4 linked regions of the Schizosaccharomyces pombe genome follow. The gene in region 1 interacts genetically with each later gene. Each region holds a gene or a part of one and is shown in the gene's direction. Other genes may lie near its edges. The genes, in order: SPOM_SPBPB10D8.02C, rog1, ppr8 and atp10.

The links.
Region 2: mutations in SPOM_SPBPB10D8.02C (region 1) and rog1 together harm fitness more than expected from each alone (negative genetic interaction), as found in Schizosaccharomyces pombe (one large-scale study listed by BioGRID).
Region 3: mutations in SPOM_SPBPB10D8.02C (region 1) and ppr8 together harm fitness less than expected from each alone (positive genetic interaction), as found in Schizosaccharomyces pombe (one large-scale study listed by BioGRID).
Region 4: mutations in SPOM_SPBPB10D8.02C (region 1) and atp10 together harm fitness more than expected from each alone (negative genetic interaction), as found in Schizosaccharomyces pombe (one large-scale study listed by BioGRID).

The regions. Positions count from the first base shown.
Region 1 is NC_003423.3:82,710-87,298, reverse strand, and holds SPOM_SPBPB10D8.02C (arylsulfatase), read left to right. Parts: upstream 1-1,780; 5' UTR 1,781-1,867; coding exon 1,868-3,532; 3' UTR 3,533-4,070; downstream 4,071-4,589. Other genes in the region: SPOM_SPBPB10D8.01 (cysteine transporter), read right to left, coding at 4,346-4,589.
Region 2 is NC_003424.3:2,561,765-2,567,428, forward strand, and holds rog1 (lipase), read left to right. Parts: upstream 1-2,125; 5' UTR 2,126-2,196; coding exon of another isoform or gene 2,197-2,199; 5' UTR 2,200-2,322; exon of another isoform or gene 2,323-2,392; 5' UTR 2,393-2,514; coding exon 2,515-2,542; intron 2,543-2,663; exon of another isoform or gene 2,664-2,706; coding exon 2,707-5,036; 3' UTR 5,037-5,106; downstream 5,107-5,664. Other genes in the region: protein Cwf21, read right to left, coding at 1,247-2,125, 2,197-2,199; fatty acid synthase alpha subunit Fas2, read right to left, coding at 5,276-5,664.
Region 3 is NC_003423.3:4,393,105-4,397,286, reverse strand, and holds ppr8 (PPR repeat-containing protein Ppr8), read left to right. Parts: upstream 1-1,839; 5' UTR 1,840-1,850; coding exon 1,851-2,030; intron 2,031-2,075; coding exon 2,076-3,341; 3' UTR 3,342-3,677; downstream 3,678-4,182. Other genes in the region: DNA-directed RNA polymerase I and III subunit Rpc40, read left to right, coding at 188-1,234. UniProt on the Schizosaccharomyces pombe protein: Mitochondrial RNA-binding protein involved in mitochondrial translation. The cox1 mRNA is one target but it is not clear if ppr8 has a single or multiple targets.
Region 4 is NC_003424.3:780,821-784,957, reverse strand, and holds atp10 (F1-F0 ATPase assembly protein), read left to right. Parts: upstream 1-1,686; 5' UTR 1,687-1,813; coding exon 1,814-2,155; exon of another isoform or gene 2,156-2,253; coding exon 2,254-2,520; exon of another isoform or gene 2,521-2,621; coding exon 2,622-2,816; 3' UTR 2,817-2,922; coding exon of another isoform or gene 2,923-3,471; 3' UTR 3,472-3,611; downstream 3,612-4,137. Other genes in the region: smp3 (alpha-1,2-mannosyltransferase), read left to right, coding at 1-283; SNARE protein Gos1, read right to left, coding at 2,923-3,471; SPOM_SPAC4G8.09 (leucine--tRNA (Leu) ligase), read right to left, coding at 3,802-4,137. UniProt on the Schizosaccharomyces pombe protein: Involved in assembly of the mitochondrial F1-F0 complex.

The DNA.
Region 1 (4,589 bases):
CTATACTAGTAGCACTTTACATGCCGCTACATTATATATAAAAGTGAACAGCCAATTAATTTTGCTTTTTAATCATTTCCAAGTCATTTAAAATTCCTTGCAATAATAAGCGTATATGGGAATGTAGTTAGCACAATTACTTGCTTCGGCTCAGACAACCTATTATTATAATACAGCTTATTTTATAATAATATTATTAGCTTTTTACCCATCGAACACAAATGAAAACATGCTAAGAAAAGGAATGTTTAAACAAAATTATTATAGTCATAATCTAGGATGCATTTACCGAGTAACAATGACAACTTAACACGTGTAAATTCTAATTTGTAATTAAAACGATTTGCTATTACTATTTAAATGTAAACCAAGTTTGAATACATCCGATATAATAATGAGTAAAAAGAAAATAGTGGGTGCTGCTCAATAAGTTTACACTTTAACATAATATCAGACCAAATCTGATAAATATGAATTTACGTAACTCTTTTGATATAATTTGAATTCACTTATAATTGCAATTGATAGTACCAAAAGTGCGTTGAAGGGAAATGATGTATGGATTGTTTGAGAATGTTACATCTTTTCTCGGATCCAACATTACGCAAAGATCCTTTCTGTACAACAACTTAATCCTTTAACTTTACAAGTTCCTACAATTGAAACAAGTTGTTTTTGTATATTGTGAATGTCTTAAGATGTTCTTTATCTGTATTTTTTAACAATTGGTCCACTATTTTTGAACTTAGGAAGTCTAATTATTGGACGGCCCTTAGTTACGGAAACAATTTACCAAGAAAAAAATCTTCAGATATATAGCATTAAGCTTTATTATGATACATCTCGATACTTTTATACTCTTCATATCTTCATATATATTACGTCCACTAATCGAGATTATTAAATTCCAATTGTAATAATTAAGTATTATTTTAATTTCAAACGAAAAGAGAATCCGAGGTCAGTTGTAAATTAATTATTACCACTTAGTATGAAAATATTCGTGTCTGATATTTCATATCAATAAGACAATACAAAGGACCAAAACGTAATTTTAATCGCAGTTTACCCCCATTAAATTGTATGAAATTCGTATCACTCAACAAATCTAGGTATAAATATGATTTTTCTCAGTTATTGTCAAAAGCAAAATGTTATTATATCTAATTTATCTCATAGAAAATATGTTGAATCTTCCACTGACATTTCTCGTTGAAAGTTCAAAATAACGAAAATCGACGTCCTTGTTAATTATCATTTGGTATCTTTTAGAAAATTAATGTTTTCTTATATGTATAAAGCTTCAAAATCTATTTAGGTTCCTTTGTAGTATATTACCGAAACCGATTTTTTCTAGAGTAAAGCATTTATTGATATAAAGATCAATTAATATAATTTGGCGAGTGTTTAAATATTTTCACATATTTTCCTTTGGGATTGATAACTCAATTAATATTTCCTTGATAAATAAAAAAAAAAAGTCAATTCCTGGTCAGTAAACTCAGTTTTGCACATATTGAGTGAGTGACAGTAATTAGTTTTAAACTTGATTTACTGAATCTTATCTCTAAAATATTCAGATAAGTAAATTACAGTTTGATCCAGTAAATTGGAATGTATGAGTATCTTTTTTAATATGGATGATGTTACTCAAAGCTTACGTGATAGCACGCCATACTTCTTCATTAGGTATTTGTAATTTTGCAATCTATTACGGAAGACAATTGTTGCAAATATATTTTTTCATATTTTAATCAACTTGTGGGCTGTCTCTTGTCTCACATGCCCTTTATGAACATAAAATAAAAATTACAGTTTGAGCTGCATAAAAATTTATTCGCAATCAAAAAAAATTTGAATAGTAACTATGGCTTTTAATAAACAAGCTGAATCTAAAAAACCAAACTTTTTGGTCATCGTAGCTGACGATCTTGGATGGTCAGATGTTTCTCCGTTTGGAAGTGAAATACACACTCCAAATATTGAGAGGCTTGCAAAGGAAGGTGTACGGTTGACAAACTTTCATACAGCCTCTGCTTGCTCGCCTACTCGATCTATGTTATTAAGCGGTACAGACAATCACATAGCAGGTTTAGGGCAAATGGCAGAGACAGTACGCAGGTTTTCGAAAGTATGGGGTGGAAAGCCTGGGTACGAAGGCTACCTAAATGATAGAGTTGCTGCATTACCAGAGATTCTACAGGAAGCGGGTTACTATACCACAATGTCTGGAAAGTGGCACCTTGGACTAACCCCAGATCGTTACCCTTCAAAGCGAGGATTTAAAGAATCTTTTGCACTTTTACCTGGAGGTGGTAATCATTTTGCATATGAACCTGGTACTAGAGAAAACCCTGCTGTACCTTTTTTACCACCATTGTATACCCACAATCATGATCCTGTTGATCACAAAAGCTTAAAAAATTTTTATTCGTCCAATTACTTTGCAGAAAAATTAATTGATCAGTTAAAAAATCGTGAAAAATCCCAGTCATTTTTTGCTTACCTCCCATTTACAGCACCTCATTGGCCGTTGCAATCACCAAAAGAATATATTAATAAATATCGTGGACGATATAGTGAAGGCCCCGATGTGTTACGAAAAAATCGCTTGCAAGCCCAAAAGGATTTGGGACTTATACCAGAAAATGTAATTCCAGCACCTGTAGATGGAATGGGAACCAAGTCATGGGACGAACTAACAACAGAAGAGAAAGAATTTTCTGCGCGAACGATGGAAGTTTATGCTGCAATGGTCGAATTATTAGATTTGAATATTGGTCGTGTTATTGACTACTTGAAAACTATTGGAGAACTTGACAACACATTTGTTATATTTATGTCAGACAACGGTGCAGAAGGGTCAGTTTTGGAAGCAATCCCGGTATTAAGCACAAAACCACCGGTTAAGTATTTTGACAATTCACTGGAAAACTTGGGTAATTATAATTCATTTATTTGGTACGGACCAAGATGGGCACAGGCTGCGACCGCTCCTTCTCGACTTAGCAAGGGTTTTATTACAGAAGGTGGTATTCGATGTCCTGCTATAATTCGCTATCCTCCATTGATCAAGCCAGACATCATCTCCGATGAGTTTGTTACGGTTATGGATATCCTGCCAACCATCCTTGAGTTAGCAGAAGTCCCTCACCCAGGGCACAAATTTCAAGGACGAGATGTTGTAATCCCCCGTGGGAAACCTTGGATTGACCATTTTGTGCATGGAAAACCCGTACACAAAGATACTGACTTTAGCGGCTGGGAACTTTTCGGGCAAAGAGCTATCAGAAAAGGAAATTATAAGGCAATATATGTACCTAAAGAAGGAATAAAAACAGAATGGGAGCTGTATGATCTTTCCCAGGACAAAGGTGAGCTTGAAAATCTAGCGAAAGTCCATCCAGATATTCTAAACGAACTCATCGAGTATTGGTTGGTCTACGAAGCTGAAACTGGAGTAGTAACAGCCCCAGACGATTTTGTTGCCGAAAACGTCGGTTTGTTCAAACCAGCTAAGCACAATCTTTAATGATTATTCATGATATTGAATTTTACAATAATTTTTTACTGTTAATGAAACACCACATAGCAGTTTATTAATGGTAAAAAACTTATTGCAAATATGGAACTCGGGTTCAGCTAATTGTTTAATTTAATGGGCTATTTCCAGTCTTTTACTTATTAAACACCACAGTTTAAAGATTATAAAATCTAATAATAGCTGATTTCATCTATCAACGTATATATGCTAAGTTACCAATTGATTCAATGTTTTTTAAATATGATAATCTACAGCGAAAATTATCAGATGGAATGCAAAGCCGAGCTGAAAAATTTAACTGGTTTGGATTTCCCCTACGTATTAGGCTTTATAATTGATATAAAAATACTTTTTTAGAACATCTCTTTTTCAATCGCAACTTTGCAGCAAAGTAAACTATGAGAAACCATTGGGGATAAAAATCGACCTCCATTTTATTTAGCAATGAATGCTAGTTCTTCTTTTCAATCTATGTAAATAGTAACTGAATAAAGCTTTCAGCAATATATACAAACAAAATTTCAAACTATTCTTCGCTAAAGACGAAGATTACTATTAAAGGTTAGGAATCCTAAAGGAAACAAAAAAACAAGTAAATAAAGCAACTGTCTTGTAGTAGTCTAAAATAAGTTAAGAGTTTACGGGCAAGTAGTTTAAAAATACAAAATTTTGCAAAAAAAAAAGCAAATAGTAGAAGGATTTTTCATGACTGTTGGGAATTTGAAATTATTTTGTAAACATTTCTCATGAATACTTCAAAAAGTTATTTTTTAAGATTTATTCCTTCGTTTAAATGGATAATTATAAGGGATAAATAAACGATAGGTTCTCCTGGTCTGTCAAATCAAGCATAGAATTTTCGTAAAAACCGGAAACGTGATTTCCAGAAGAATCAATCGTCTCAATCCAAGTCTTTTCATACTGTTCTTTATTCTGCTCAAGAAGAGCAAGGCGCTTTTTGTTCCTTCGAACAAGAATCCAGCGAATGATCAGCAATACAAAGGGAGAAACAGACCAAGCAATTACTATTTGAACAATCCAAGCA
Region 2 (5,664 bases), on another chromosome or scaffold:
TATATGAACATAGAAGGGAGTCAGGAATGACCAATGCTGATAATGTTTAGAAGAGGCTAACTTTGCTCCGTTTGAGACGTTAAAGTGAAATACGAGCTCACTGTTCCTACCCATTGATGCTGCCAATTCGTATAATATGCTATATGAACCTACATCTAGTCAATTGCTTTGTGAACAAAGCTTGGTATATTGGCGATAGTAACAAACAAGCTAGTCGAAAATTTTTAACTAGTTTTTAATTCAGATTTCGATAGAGTAATCGCGTTAAATATATTTACCTGTCCAATAAAAAATTTCGATGAAAAAATGTTTTTTTTCTTTTCAATTATCTACAGAAAACTAATTAATTAATGCTTTGCGACTTAGCAAGAAGTTGTAATACGTGTTTAATGTACTGTAGTATCTAGGAAATTGAAAGTTATATGAAACAATAGATATTTATTTTAAAAAAGTTAAAGCGATTGGAAATCAAGATTTGAATGTATGATTAATTTTGTTTAGAAAAAAAAATGGGTTTTCTCTCAATGTCGCAGTGTCATCCTTGTGCAGGGGCCATGCTCTAAACAACGAGTTAGTATGACTCGAACCTTGGTAAATATTGTTACTTACAATCTTCTCTGTATCGTTTCAATTTGACCAAAGTGATCCGAAGATCATCAGAAAATAAAAATTGTATTATTTATAATTAAACTTATATTATAATTTTTTTTATAAATTGGTTTTATTATATAATTAATATTGCTTTAAAGCAAGTTCATTTTGTAAAATATATATAATAAACATTATTGGTATAAAAGCTCTGAGATTTACAGTATGCAGGAAAACAAAGCCGCCAAGAGCTACTTTGACTAAAATCGCGTGAATAATCTCGAAAATCTTTATTAAAAAGATTCTTTTATGCTTAATTAATGAATTTAAAATACAAATGTAAAAGCGTAATTGTAAATTTAAAATTGCTTCATTATCCCTCCGTGAAAAAGAAAAATATCAAATGATGTTTAAATCGTGCAACTTAACAGCCTTAATATAAAGTCGATAGTATTTTTTCTTTGAAGAATAATATTTTTTATATCATTGAACAGTCGTGTGCTTCATGGGATTTGACTAACGTGTATTGCTAACCAAATATTCATATTAATCCAACGATTGTTGATGACCCGAATAATTATCCAATATTAATAAACAATACATGCTTGCATGAATTGCCTATTATATTATTGTTTTAACTGGCCTAACTCTTTGGGCCTCATACAATTTCGCCACCCTCAGGAGAGGAATCCCTGTCCACAACAGGAATTGACTCATTCTTCGTATAGGAGGGTGAATTGCTTCTTTCTCTCCTTCTATGATAAGAATACCTTTCCCGTTCATCGTGTCTATTATAATCTCTTCTGGGTAATTCAGAACGCCTTGAGTAACTTTCATTACTACTCCGTCGTCTTTCTAATTCATCGTAGGAGGAATACGAATCGTAATGTCTTCTTCTATTTTCATTGTAATTGTCCACATGCCTTTTTGAATTTAATGATTTCCTCTCGGAATAACGCGGGTAATCATAATAATCATCGTCAACTGATGATCTCAAATCGTCTCTTTCTTCTAATCGCCCATCATCGTCATTTTTCGAGTGAAATCCTCTTGTTTCTTTTCTTTTCTGAGGTTGAAGAATGGATTCAAAATTTTTTCCTTTTTCAGTAGATTTTTGTAATTGCAATTCTTTAAGTAACTGTTCTCGATATTTTTGTACTAAAATTTCTACATCAGCTTCATCTAAAGATTTAGTTTTCGATTGTGATTGCTCATCTTTTATAATTGCTTTAGGTGGCTTCGGGTTTTCAGTCCCAAAATTTGTATTGGAATCAGATGCCGCTGCATCAGTGCTGTGTTGGGAACTGACCTCCTCCAACAACTGCTCTCTGTACAACAACAACTTCGACTCAATTTGTCGACGGCATTCATGCTCGCTTATTGAAGGATCTTGAACCCGTTTTTCCAGAGCTTTTGCATTTCGATTTGACTGTAGATTTGTATTTTTGTCATATTTTTTTACGTGAGACAGATTCCGCATTACGTATCCATTTGTTCCTGATCCTCTTGGAGTGGGTAATCCAATTCCATTATACGACTTTAATTGTTAGCAAAGGACTCAATTTTGGTGTCTTCTTCATTAAAGAAAGCTTTTTATGCATCTCTTACCATCTTGCTTTATTTCCCGTGAAGTCGTTCGATTTTTGCTTTTGCTCAAAAATTAGAAAAACTGAGTTTATATAGGTTCGTCGAACAGCTAGTCTAACAAAGGAATCGAGCGAACAAATTTTACCGGTAGGACACTGATAAATTCGCGTTACTTTTTACGTGATATGAGCAACTAGCGATTTACTAATTGAAACAGATAAAATTTTATCCCTATTCGTTGACCGGTATTGAAAAATAATTGATATCTCTCACCTTTCACGAATAGCTAATTTTCAGATTTACTAGTTTTTGAGTTGTCATCGCTTGACTTCTGACATTATGAATGTATATGTACAACGAGATGACGGTAAGTTACTTTAAACAAAATTTACCACTCCTTTAAATTGTATTTGCAAGTTGATATTATCAGCTCGTTATTTAAAGTTTCGATTTGTTATGCTTGTTTCGATGCAAAAATTTTGGGATGGCATATAAATATTTAATACTTGTTCTAACATTGGCATGGTACAGTTGGTTTAGGTCAAATACATCGATTTCGAATTTTTGTGCAGAGTGGGGGCAATTTGCATTCGGCAACGTCTTCTACAACTGTGCCCCCCACTGTGAACCTCAATTCAGTGACTAAGAAAGAGAGTGGTAGCATCGAGGATAGAGCAGGTTCAGGTGGGATGACAATCTCTAGTGGGGAGAATATCAGCAAGCAAATCTCAGAGAATAATAGTAGCACGAATCCGAAGCATGCAAATTCAGAATCCTCACCTCTTCTTTCCAGCGATTTTTCATCTTCTTCAAAAGATTATCATAAAGTTGGTGCGTTTACAGATAATACCAATGCAATCAACATACCTGAACAAACAAGAGGTGTCTCTCATACCTCTTCTTCTCCTTCTGTAGGTACTTCATTCTCTTCTATTAATCTTCGTGAAGTAAAAAATCCCTTGGCAGGAAGCGACTCTACAGCTCCCTTCATAAATTCGACTAACTCGGTACTTTGGATTCGTGTCAGGAATAGAGAAGCACGTTTCCGCCAGGCAGCCTATCTTCAAGGTCCATTTACATTATGCGTTAGCGTTTGGAATGACCAATTTTTTGATGAAAAAAATTCTTTATTAAACTTTGATCCTCAGGTACAGCCCTCTACTAGTTTTTGGGTCTGTGTACCTTATTCATGTTTTTCCAATCAGCAGCCTATTTACATTGAAATTGCAAGTCAGGCGATTTTTAAAGATAGATCTATTAACTTTGAGCTTGCTATATCGCAATCTCAACATTCCATTCGAGCCATGTCAGCTGCTGATATCGATACTCTTCATGCATTCCCTGCTCTACACGTTGAACATCAAACTCCGGAAAATTTATGGCGTCTTCCGTATTCTTCATTTCATTCAAAGAATTCACATTTGGTGGTGCTAACTCATGGAATGCATTCTAATGTTGGTGCTGATATGGAGTATTTAAAAGAAAAACTAATAGAATCATCAAAATCTGTTAAGGAACTAGTAGTTGTTCGAGGATTTACCGGTAACTACTGTCAGACTGAGAAAGGGGTTCGCTGGCTGGGTAAACGACTTGGTGAATGGCTGTTGGATATTACGGGCTGGGGAAGTGCATCTTTTCCTCGATATTCCCATATATCAGTTGTCGCCCACTCACTTGGTGGATTGGTTCAAACATATGCTGTTGGTTATGTACATGCAAAAACGCACGGTGCCTTTTTTCAGGCTATTCACCCTGTGTTTTTTGTAACTTTGGCAACTCCTTGGCTCGGTGTTGCTGGTGAACATCCTTCTTATATTGGTAAGGCTTTGTCCTATGGTATCATTGGTAAGACAGGACAAGACTTATCTTTAACTCCACTGAATCACTCCATTGAATCAAGACCTTTCCTTGTTTTGATGTCTGATCCTTCCACGCCTTTCTTTCAAGCTGTTTCGTTTTTTGAAAAAAGAATATTATTTGCAAATACTACCAATGACTATATCGTCCCTTTTGGAACTAGCGCAATGGAAGTTAGTTCTTTGGGTAAGGTAGAGGAAGCTGAGGGTTCAGATAAGGTTATGCCTACGCATATGGAAAATGGCATTTCACCAACACTAAAAGAAAATGAGCAAACAGTTCAAAGTGTCGGAGATAATGCAAAGAAAATCCATGCTTCTTCAGAAGAATCTGGATCTTCATTTTCTAAAGCTCTTAAATCCTTTGTAGGATTGTTCAGTTATTCGGCATCCAAAACTACAGATACTGAAATTCCATTAGTAAAAAATGAGGATGAAAATGCTAGGAAGCCTACTGAACCCAATTGTCTTGGCTCAGATGAATTAGATGTCTCAAATTCTTCAAACCAATTTTTTTGCTCAGCCCCTAAATTAGATCCAACTTCCACGTTTTCAGGAGTTGCACAACGAGTTGTCAACACTTTTACAAATTTGTTTATCCCAGCTGTTCCGACAGATTCTTACTTTTTTAAATATCATCTGCATAAAGTTGTTGTATCTGATAATGTCCATGATCCAGCTGCCTCTTTTTCTACTTTTGATGGAATTACTGAGCTAAACAACATGAATAATGGTTTTTTGTCTAACGAAATTACTATTGCCAAAAACTGGCATAGGCTTGCGTGGAGAAAGGTTGCTGTTAGACTCGATGGTGATGCGCACAATACCATGATTGTTCGTAGGCGGTTTCCGAATGCTTACGGTTGGACAGTGATTAAGCATCTAACTGAAATTTTGTTCGAGCAAAACACTTCAACAGCATATATGAACCCCATTTCTTTCGATGAAACAACAACCGCTGCCTGGCTTTCAGAAATTTATGAAGATAACTCAATATCAGTTTAAATACTCATACGTGTTAAGACATTCGTTTAAATTTAATGATACTGCATTTTTTTAGAGCATAATAATTTATAAGGTTAAAAGTAATTTATTTCTAACTGCGTATATAACGACTACAAAAATCGATAACCATTTCAAAGCATTTGAGGTAAACAAAAAGATTAAAGATAGTGTATTAAATCAAACGATTGAAGGGAATGCGAAAATCCGCATACCAATGTTGAAAGACAATATAACGTAAATTACTTGTGAGCCAAAGCAACACTGACACTTTGATTATCATCGTGGGAAATACTGACGGAAACACTCTTCACACCGGCGGTCGTTGCAGCCTTCGCAGCCTCTCCGTGCAAAACTACTTCAGGAGCACCAGACTCTGAAGAAATAATTTCGATATCCTTCAATGGAGCTGCAGCGCCTTTACCGGAAATACCCAAAGACTTAAAGACAGCCTCTTTGGCTGACCAACGTCCGGCAAAGCTAGCTTGGGGATTAGGAGCTGCAAAACAGTACTTTCGCTCGGTATCAGTAAAATTCCTTTCTATAAAGGTCTCATTATCAATGCTAATCGCTGATACAAGTTCAACATCCACGCCAACATTTTCATTGGAGTTGGTCAATGAGGTTGTTA
Region 3 (4,182 bases), 4.3 Mb from region 1:
AACTTGAATCGCTAAAAAAATGCTATTTACGCTTCTTCAAGTGCTCTACTACTATTGTCAGTTAATTTGCAATGTCTTACTTTTATTCGCACTATCGTGTTTACCACACAATAGCGAATTTTTACGCATATAAAGGTTTTAAAAGTTTATATTGCAACTTCTCACCGTTTTTTTCATAAAATTAAAAATGGCAGCGGTTGACAGATCAAGGACAGAAATCTCTGTCCTTTCTGATCGTGTTACAGATGTAGGAAGTGTAGATTTTCCAGGTTATTATTTTGATGAAGACAACATCTGGGATCTTGATAAATTTAAAAAAAATTTAAAAGTTTCGATTACGTCTCTCGATCAAGAAACAATGGTATTTGAAATTTCTGGAATTGATGCATCCATTGCAAATGCATTTAGGAGGATTTTAATCGCCGAGATCCCAACTCTTGCATTTGAGTTCGTGTATATCATAAACAATACGAGCATAATACAAGATGAGGTTTTGTCTCACAGAATAGGTCTTGTACCTATATCTGCTGATCCTGACATGTTTAAATGGTTTCAACATCCTCTGCCAGGACAAGAGGCAACTCATACTGATTACGATACTGTTGTCTTTTCCCTTAATAAGAAATGCGAGTTTAATAAGAATGCCGCTACAGATGAAAAAGATCCAAAGAGACTTTACGTTAACTCTGAGGTTTATTCGGGTGATCTAATTTGGAAACCGCAAGGTCGACAGGAAGAGCGATTTGCTGACAATCCTATACGAGTAGTCAACCCAGATATTGTTGTTGCAAAATTGCGTCCTGGCCAGGAAATCGATTTAGAAGCTCATGCAATCTTAGGTATTGGACAAGACCATGCTAAGTTTTCTCCTGTTGCTACTGCCTCCTACCGCTTATTGCCTACTATACATATCTTGTCTCCTATTGAAGGTGAAGATGCAGTTAAATTTCAAAAATGCTTCCCTAAAGGAGTCATCGAGCTTGAAGAAGGACCTGATGGTAAAAAACAAGCCCGTGTAGCAGACGTTCGAAAAGACACCGTATCCCGCGAATGCTTGAGACATCCCGAATTTGCAGATAAGGTGCAATTAGGCCGCGTACGCGATCATTATTTGTTTTCTGTTGAAAGCACCGGTATTATGAAGCCCGATGTCTTGTTCATTAAAAGCATTGCAGTCCTAAAATCGAAATGTCTAGCCGTAAAGTCTAGTCTTCAGAATATTTCTTCTGACTGAATGTCTGTTAAATTAGTTTTATATGTAATCTTTTGGATAATTGGGTACGCTGTTAAAAAATATACTTTTGAAAGTTATTGATTTCTATATTTCAATATTAACATTTTGTCCTTTCTTTAATTTTAAATTTAATTCATCATAGACATGTATTTTGTTGATAACCAGTAGACCTTTTAAAAAGAAGTGTTGGTTTTCAATCACTACTTGCCATCCTTTGAAAGTCCTTATAAAATGCTTTGAGAATTTATATGAAAGCGACGCCTTTAATTGATGCAACTGAAAAAATTACTTTTCATTATATTTTTACAGGGATTTTGAAGTCCTATCTATTAAATTACCTAAATTAAACTAGACTGATTGTATAAATTTTAAAAATATTGTAAATGCCGGTTTTAACTAATTTGCAAAGAATGTGCCTAAGCATGCAGCAGAGTCTTAGTTAAGTTGCTTTGTTACTACATGATTGAACTATTATAGGAAAAGAAAAATAAAATAGAATCAGTTCTAACATATTCAGGAAACGCCATTTTGCTGATCTTTTCTAGATCAATCCTGACTGAGTAGAGAGTAGCCACAACATGACTCAGCAACAACAAACTTACCCCAAGCGTATACCATGCAAGGATTTGGGAGCCAAATTTTTCGGAAATTGCTGCGTAGTAGTAATGCTAAAGTGTCAGATGCACTTTTACAAAATACGCGTACCCTTTTCACCGCTCCGCCTTTACATTCTGGGTTACAAACTTCATTCACCGCTGAAACTCAACAACATGTAAGGCAGAATTCTCAAAATTTGGTATGTAAAGGCTGATGTTTCCACCTTTTTCTAACAGGTAAATAGCTGAAACAATTAAATGATGAAATGAAGGCGCGCAAGTATACGGAAACCGTTGCTACTTTCAGCAGCCTGAAACCATTTGGCATTTTAGATAGTCAAACCATTAATAGATACATTTTGTTTTTGGTAGATCGGATTAAAATGCTCAATGGGAGAGGTAATGTAGATGAAGCTACTCTCGACAAACTTGATGATATACTTCGATATGCAATTGAACACCAAGAGATTGCCTCTGCTAGGTTTTGGCGAATTATGCTCCAATCATATATCGACCTAAACCTTTTTGACAAGGCTTCATTAATTGCTGATATGAGCTTAAGCCATATGGAGTTTTTACCTAAAGATGAACGAGTTTTAGGCAACCTCTACATCTCAGCACTTCAAGCTAAGATACTTGGAGGTGCCAGTTTTGAACAGTGTGGAAAAATAGGTTCAGCCATTCACGAGCAACTTGAAGGGAAAGAAGTTGTAAATGAATTGGTTGCTGTGTATTTGATTTATACTGTTTTCAAAGATCAAGGTATTAGCAGTAAAGCTCATAAAGCTTTAGTTCAATTTAACGGACTAACAAGTTTTCACTCCGATGTCATTATTTCAGTGTTTGTCAACAAAGGTCTCGTCGATCAAGCTGCTGCTTATCTGAAAAATTCTAATCTTAACGAAAGAAATCTACCAACGATCTATACAACCGTTTGGTTACTTCAAAGACTTTTTGAAGCACACCATTCTCTAGATCCTTTGCTAACTATTTTCGATTATTATCTTTCAGTGTCACCCAAAGATATCACTCGTTTGACAAATGCTATTTTAAGTCTTTCAATGAAGCAATTTGAACGAGATCGGGATATTAAAAAGGCTACCGACTTTATCACTACGTTTATCAACAAGATGTCAGATGTAAAGGAGTTCAAACCATCCATTAGTACTGCCAACACCTTGTTCTCTATTGCTAGTCGTTTAAAGGATGTAAAATGGCTTTCTGCTGGATTTGATATGATAGACAAGTACGGGTTAAAGCCTACTCATGTCACTTATCGGTCATTATTGAAAGCATACTGTTTATTGCCAAGCACATGTGAGCAAATTTCGCAGGCTTGGGTAAATCTTGAGTATCGTCTTGAAGCTATTTCCATTTCTGTTGCAGATAAAGAAATAAATCTCCTAAAGGACTGCATTCTATCTCAACCTGACAGAGATGATCAACAAAGTTGCCTGCAATTTCTGAATATGGTGCTATCAAAATACGGTAAACATATACGTTCGCCATAAATTTTTTTGCACTTTGGATAATCTCATATAGTTCTTCCTTTTAACGAGATTACGATTAAATGTGTACATCACAGCCATATTACCTGCATGCATTAAAGTTCAAAAGTGTTCACTCCCATCTTTTAATATGTCCCACACTTTCACAAATTGAGTTATTTATTTTATTTAGGAACGTTTCGGTGGTGATTTTTGATTTTCGTTTTATGAAGTTACCTGGATGGGTTTAATTGTTTACCTCTTTGATATTTGTTAATTTTCCTTAACGTACATACTCCTTTCTGTTTTTTGCTATAGCCATCTTTTATATTAAATATATATTTTTTTATTCCAGATACAGGTTTTGTGTTCGTCTTAATAGTTTAGCATCTAAAAACACCTGTTTATTCTCAAGAGATATGGATAGTTTGAAATACTTAGAAGCTTTGCCTGGTTTATGACAAGTACGAAAAGTAAGGGATTTAAACCGCGCTAAGTTATGCTGTTAAAGACAGCTTTAAACGAATATTAGAGGATATTTTTCCCGGTATTTGTAGGTATGTCTTGCTAGTGGAAAATTTGTAAGTTAAATTATTATCACTATATTTTAATGCTTTATATGCACTCAAACAGCTGGGGTCGGTGTATGTCATTGTATTAATGTGAGACCAAAGTGCTTTATTGTACTCTATGAATCACAAATTTTGCTTTACATTAAAGTATTAGTTTAAATTTTAACTGCTTATCTCGCAAAAAATACGCTGCCTAGAAAATATACTAAGTTTAAAATAGTAATTCATTTAGGTATGGTGGTTGTTAAAAAGAGCATATAAATAGAAAAATTTGATGTTTTGAAAGTAATGTC
Region 4 (4,137 bases), on another chromosome or scaffold:
TGAAGAGGTTAAAGTCGTCAATTTGCCTGAAGAAAACACAACCGAGTTTCAAGCATCCACTTTATTAGTGTGTCCTGTTGCTATGCTACAAACAAGCAGTTATCTTCAAAATTTGACTATGCTGCATTACATCCCTTATCACGTTGATTTAGATGACACTGATGAGTTACCCCTAGCAGAATTGATTATGAATCATGGAATTGGAATTTTCACCGCTAAGGAGATTTGTGAGAATAACACTATTACTAATGAGTTACCAACGGTATTGAGAAGTGTGGGATAGCAACATAAAAAAATCATTTTGCCTCGTTGTGTACTCTTAAGATTGAGATTCGCTCGTCATGCTACATTTTAATACTGCAGCAATTGCGATTAGAAGTTACCGTTTTCTTGAAATGTTTCGTATCCTTATTGTTAATCCTTCTTTATTGTTTTAAGGGTCAGAAAGTTCAATACTTAACTTTTATTAAGTAAACTGATCTAATTGTTAAATTCATTGGCATTTGTTTAATTTTTTTTCTAATATATTTGGGTTTTAATTTTAATTTATTTATGAAAAGCTGAGAGAATATTTAGTTCACTAAATCTTTCGCGGTTATTTAATCGCGAAGCTTGCATTCGTTCGATGAATGATGATTAATTGTTATATGTTGATTCTATTGATCATATTGTTGTCTATTTTCTTCAGCACAACACTGTTAATCGCCTGTTCCGATCCGATCTATGACAAAACTTAGCTGATTGAGTCTTCAACTTGTCATATTCAATTCTAACCAATTTTGTTAATAATAAAATAGTACTGACTCATCCCGATATGTTCAATGTGCTTATATCATACATAACATAACGTATTAACACAGATTGGGAGCCATTTGAATTCGTTTTACGCAAACAACGACTATATTAGCTTACATACGCCAATATACTAATACTAGTTCAACGATTTATTTGTTGACGGAGAATTATTGCGCACTTAGTTATTTTTTTGTATCACTAACTACTTTAGTAGGTTCACTTTCATAAGTGGTCAACCCCCCCACATAGTACTTGAGGTAGTAGACGAAGTCATAATTGCTATTCAAGTGAGTAATGTCTTAAAGAGAATATGGACCCCCCATTAGTACTTTCTAACCCACTTGGAAATTGAAATTGCTTTGATTTTTAAGCATTATGAATTAATATAATATTAATGCGTATTAGCTTATATAAACGATTACTAAATTATATTCTCATAGTTTTTCATGCATCTACATAAACAGTCGGCAGGGACGTAAAAAGCTACTCTTTTAACTATGATTTTGTATTGTAGTACATTAAGAAGGGTAAGTAAGGTCTTTATATTGTAATCTCTACGCCCTGGTTGACAGCTGTTTTAATAAGCTAGAATTTTTCGCTAAATGAGTTTGCTTTAAACATTGAATTAATTAGAAAGGTTTGTATTGTTCATTATCTCAGCATTCCATTTCCTATCCTTACATGCACGTTCAATGTAAGTTGAAAAGATAGTATTCAATGAAAGATTCGCAATCCAATGAAAAGCCAATTTTAGTCTTGAATTATATTACAATGAAATTAAAAGGAGAAAACCTTTATCGTAGATATATACTAATGTCCAAAAACAAATTAAAAAACCAAAATGAAAATTAAGATATGAATTTTTAACGTCAGAGTACTTCCACCTGTAACAACAGCTCCTTTCTGCTATACCTATCTATTGAAGTTTATAATAATAATTAAGTTCATCCTTGCGTTTCTTAAATCGCATAATAAATTAAAGATTATTTCCCCTTTAATCTACCTATAATTGGTAAACATGGCATATAATTATTTAAAAAATTTAGTCATTCCGAGGTTGATTGTTAAGCATCAGTTCAAGTTGCGTTCTTTTAGCACCAAAAGTCTCAATGATACAAAAGAAAAAGCCCCATCTGCTCTCATTCCAGTAGGTTTACTGGTAAAACCGACGATGCTTTCTGAAGTCCAAAAGCCAACATTATGGGAAAAACTTACCAAACCCGCGAGTACATCTTCTCCTGAGCAAAGACAGAAGGAGCTGCTGAATGAAATGAAGAGATCAACTATTCAAGATTTCAACGAAGTTCGTCGATTTAATGGTAAGCTGTTTTACAGTCCTCCAAGATTATTTAAGGAGAAGGTATGAACAATTGGTTAAAAGTAATATTCATTTCTGGAAATTTCAAATAAGAATGAAAAAAAATTAGTTTATTGCTTAAAAATATTGACACGTTTTAGAGCGCCTTATGGATGTACAACTTTCATGGGAAGTCATTACGAAATCAGTACAAAGAGCTATATAAAGATTGGCAAGGCTCGCCCTTTTTCTTTGCATTATTTAGCAACGCGTTTGGAGAAAACCAATGTAGGAATTGGATTCAACATCTAGCTCCATTTGATTATCTGCCAGTTCGTTATGCAAATGTTCAATCCAATCTAATAAAATATTGGCTACAGAAGATATTTATAGGAAAAGTTAAAAGATCAATACCAGAAAAGTGCTGGGTAAGTAGACGCATTATTTGTCCAAGCTGCTCACAAGTTTGTTCGCTTGATAAGATAGATTTATTTACTTCCAAAATTTATAACCTTTTGCTAACTAGCAGAATGAATATATTACAGCATACGACAATAAGTTCAGTTTCCCAGAAATAGGATGGAACAACAAACTTGTTGGAAATGTGTATTTAATTGACGATTCCTGCAAAATTCGCTGGCTTGGAACCGGTGATCCAACTAATGTCGAAATTGAAAACCTGAAGACAGCGATTAAGTTTTTGGTAAATAAAAACGTTGGTTAAAAGTAAAAGGACTTTTATATTATTTCATCTTAATTAAACCTTTATGACATATTCATAACTTTGGCGGGATCAATGCCCTTCATAAACGTTTCATAAAACATGCAACTTAATGAAAAAAAAGGAACAAAAGCATCAAGACAGATATGAGTAAAGCTAAAATGATAGAATCACGTCTTCGACGGATCGAGGTTTTCCTTAATATTTGATTAATAAAAGGGATTGACATGGCCGCCCCGTTTATGCGATTGGTCACATTTCCTAAGACGCTATTTTGGTAATCAAAGTCTTCCCTCGTAGCATAAGCTCTTTCAAGAAGCTCATTAGTGCCTCTAATAGAATTGTCTAAAGAGTTTGCCTCTTGCATTTCTAAAAAGTTTTGTGCATCTCGTAATTCTTCAGGAGATAGAACTTCCTGTTTCGCATCATATTTTTTCAAAACGCCATTAAGAAGTTGCTCATCTCGTTTTAGTCTTTCAAAATGTGATTTGATAGTAGCCATTGAATGCGAGTCATTTTCGTCAGCTGAAGAGTTGGCTTCTTCAAGAAGCTTCCTTCTTTCCTCTAGCAGAATTTTAGCTTGGTTAGGATCACTGTGCAACGATCTTTGGAACTGAGACGCTTTTTTCACCGAATCTCTCAAAAGCATAGACTTCATGGCTAAAGAGATCTTCAAATTTTTATAAGAGAAAAATTAGTAGCTTAAGTTATGATTTTAAAACAAACGTTTCTCTTCTGTTGATTAATGTGGCTTTCAGATGACGTTCTTACTAGTATGTAGTTTAGAGAAGTATCCCACTACGTAGAGATTCCTAAATATACCAGTGATAGAAAAGCTATGCTACTAGAAAACATTGTGATATTAAGATAGGATATTTTTCATTCAAAATGAATTTTAAGCATTAAATTAACTACGCAACCAACATTGCATTGTTATGGTAAATATCAAAATTATTTTGAAACATGAAGCTCGTGTCTCAACCAACTTTCAGTCGGTGACTAAACTGATGATTTTTTGTTTCACAAAAGATTTTAAAACTTTTTTATTAGAGAGCCAACGTTTCCCATCATTCGTCTCAAGCACAAAATTTAGTATTTCATTTTCATCATTGAGTTTGGGCATTTCAATCTTAAATCTCACCTTACCATTAATTTGGACAGGAATAGTAACGGGCTCCTCCATATTCTCCTTTTTATTTTTGGAAATGGGCCAGTTAGAGTAAACGGAAGAATTATGTCCTAGCAGCAACCAACACTCACTTGAAAAACAAGGTATTATTGGAGCAATACATTTCACAAGCACTTCCAAAGATGCTTTAATTGT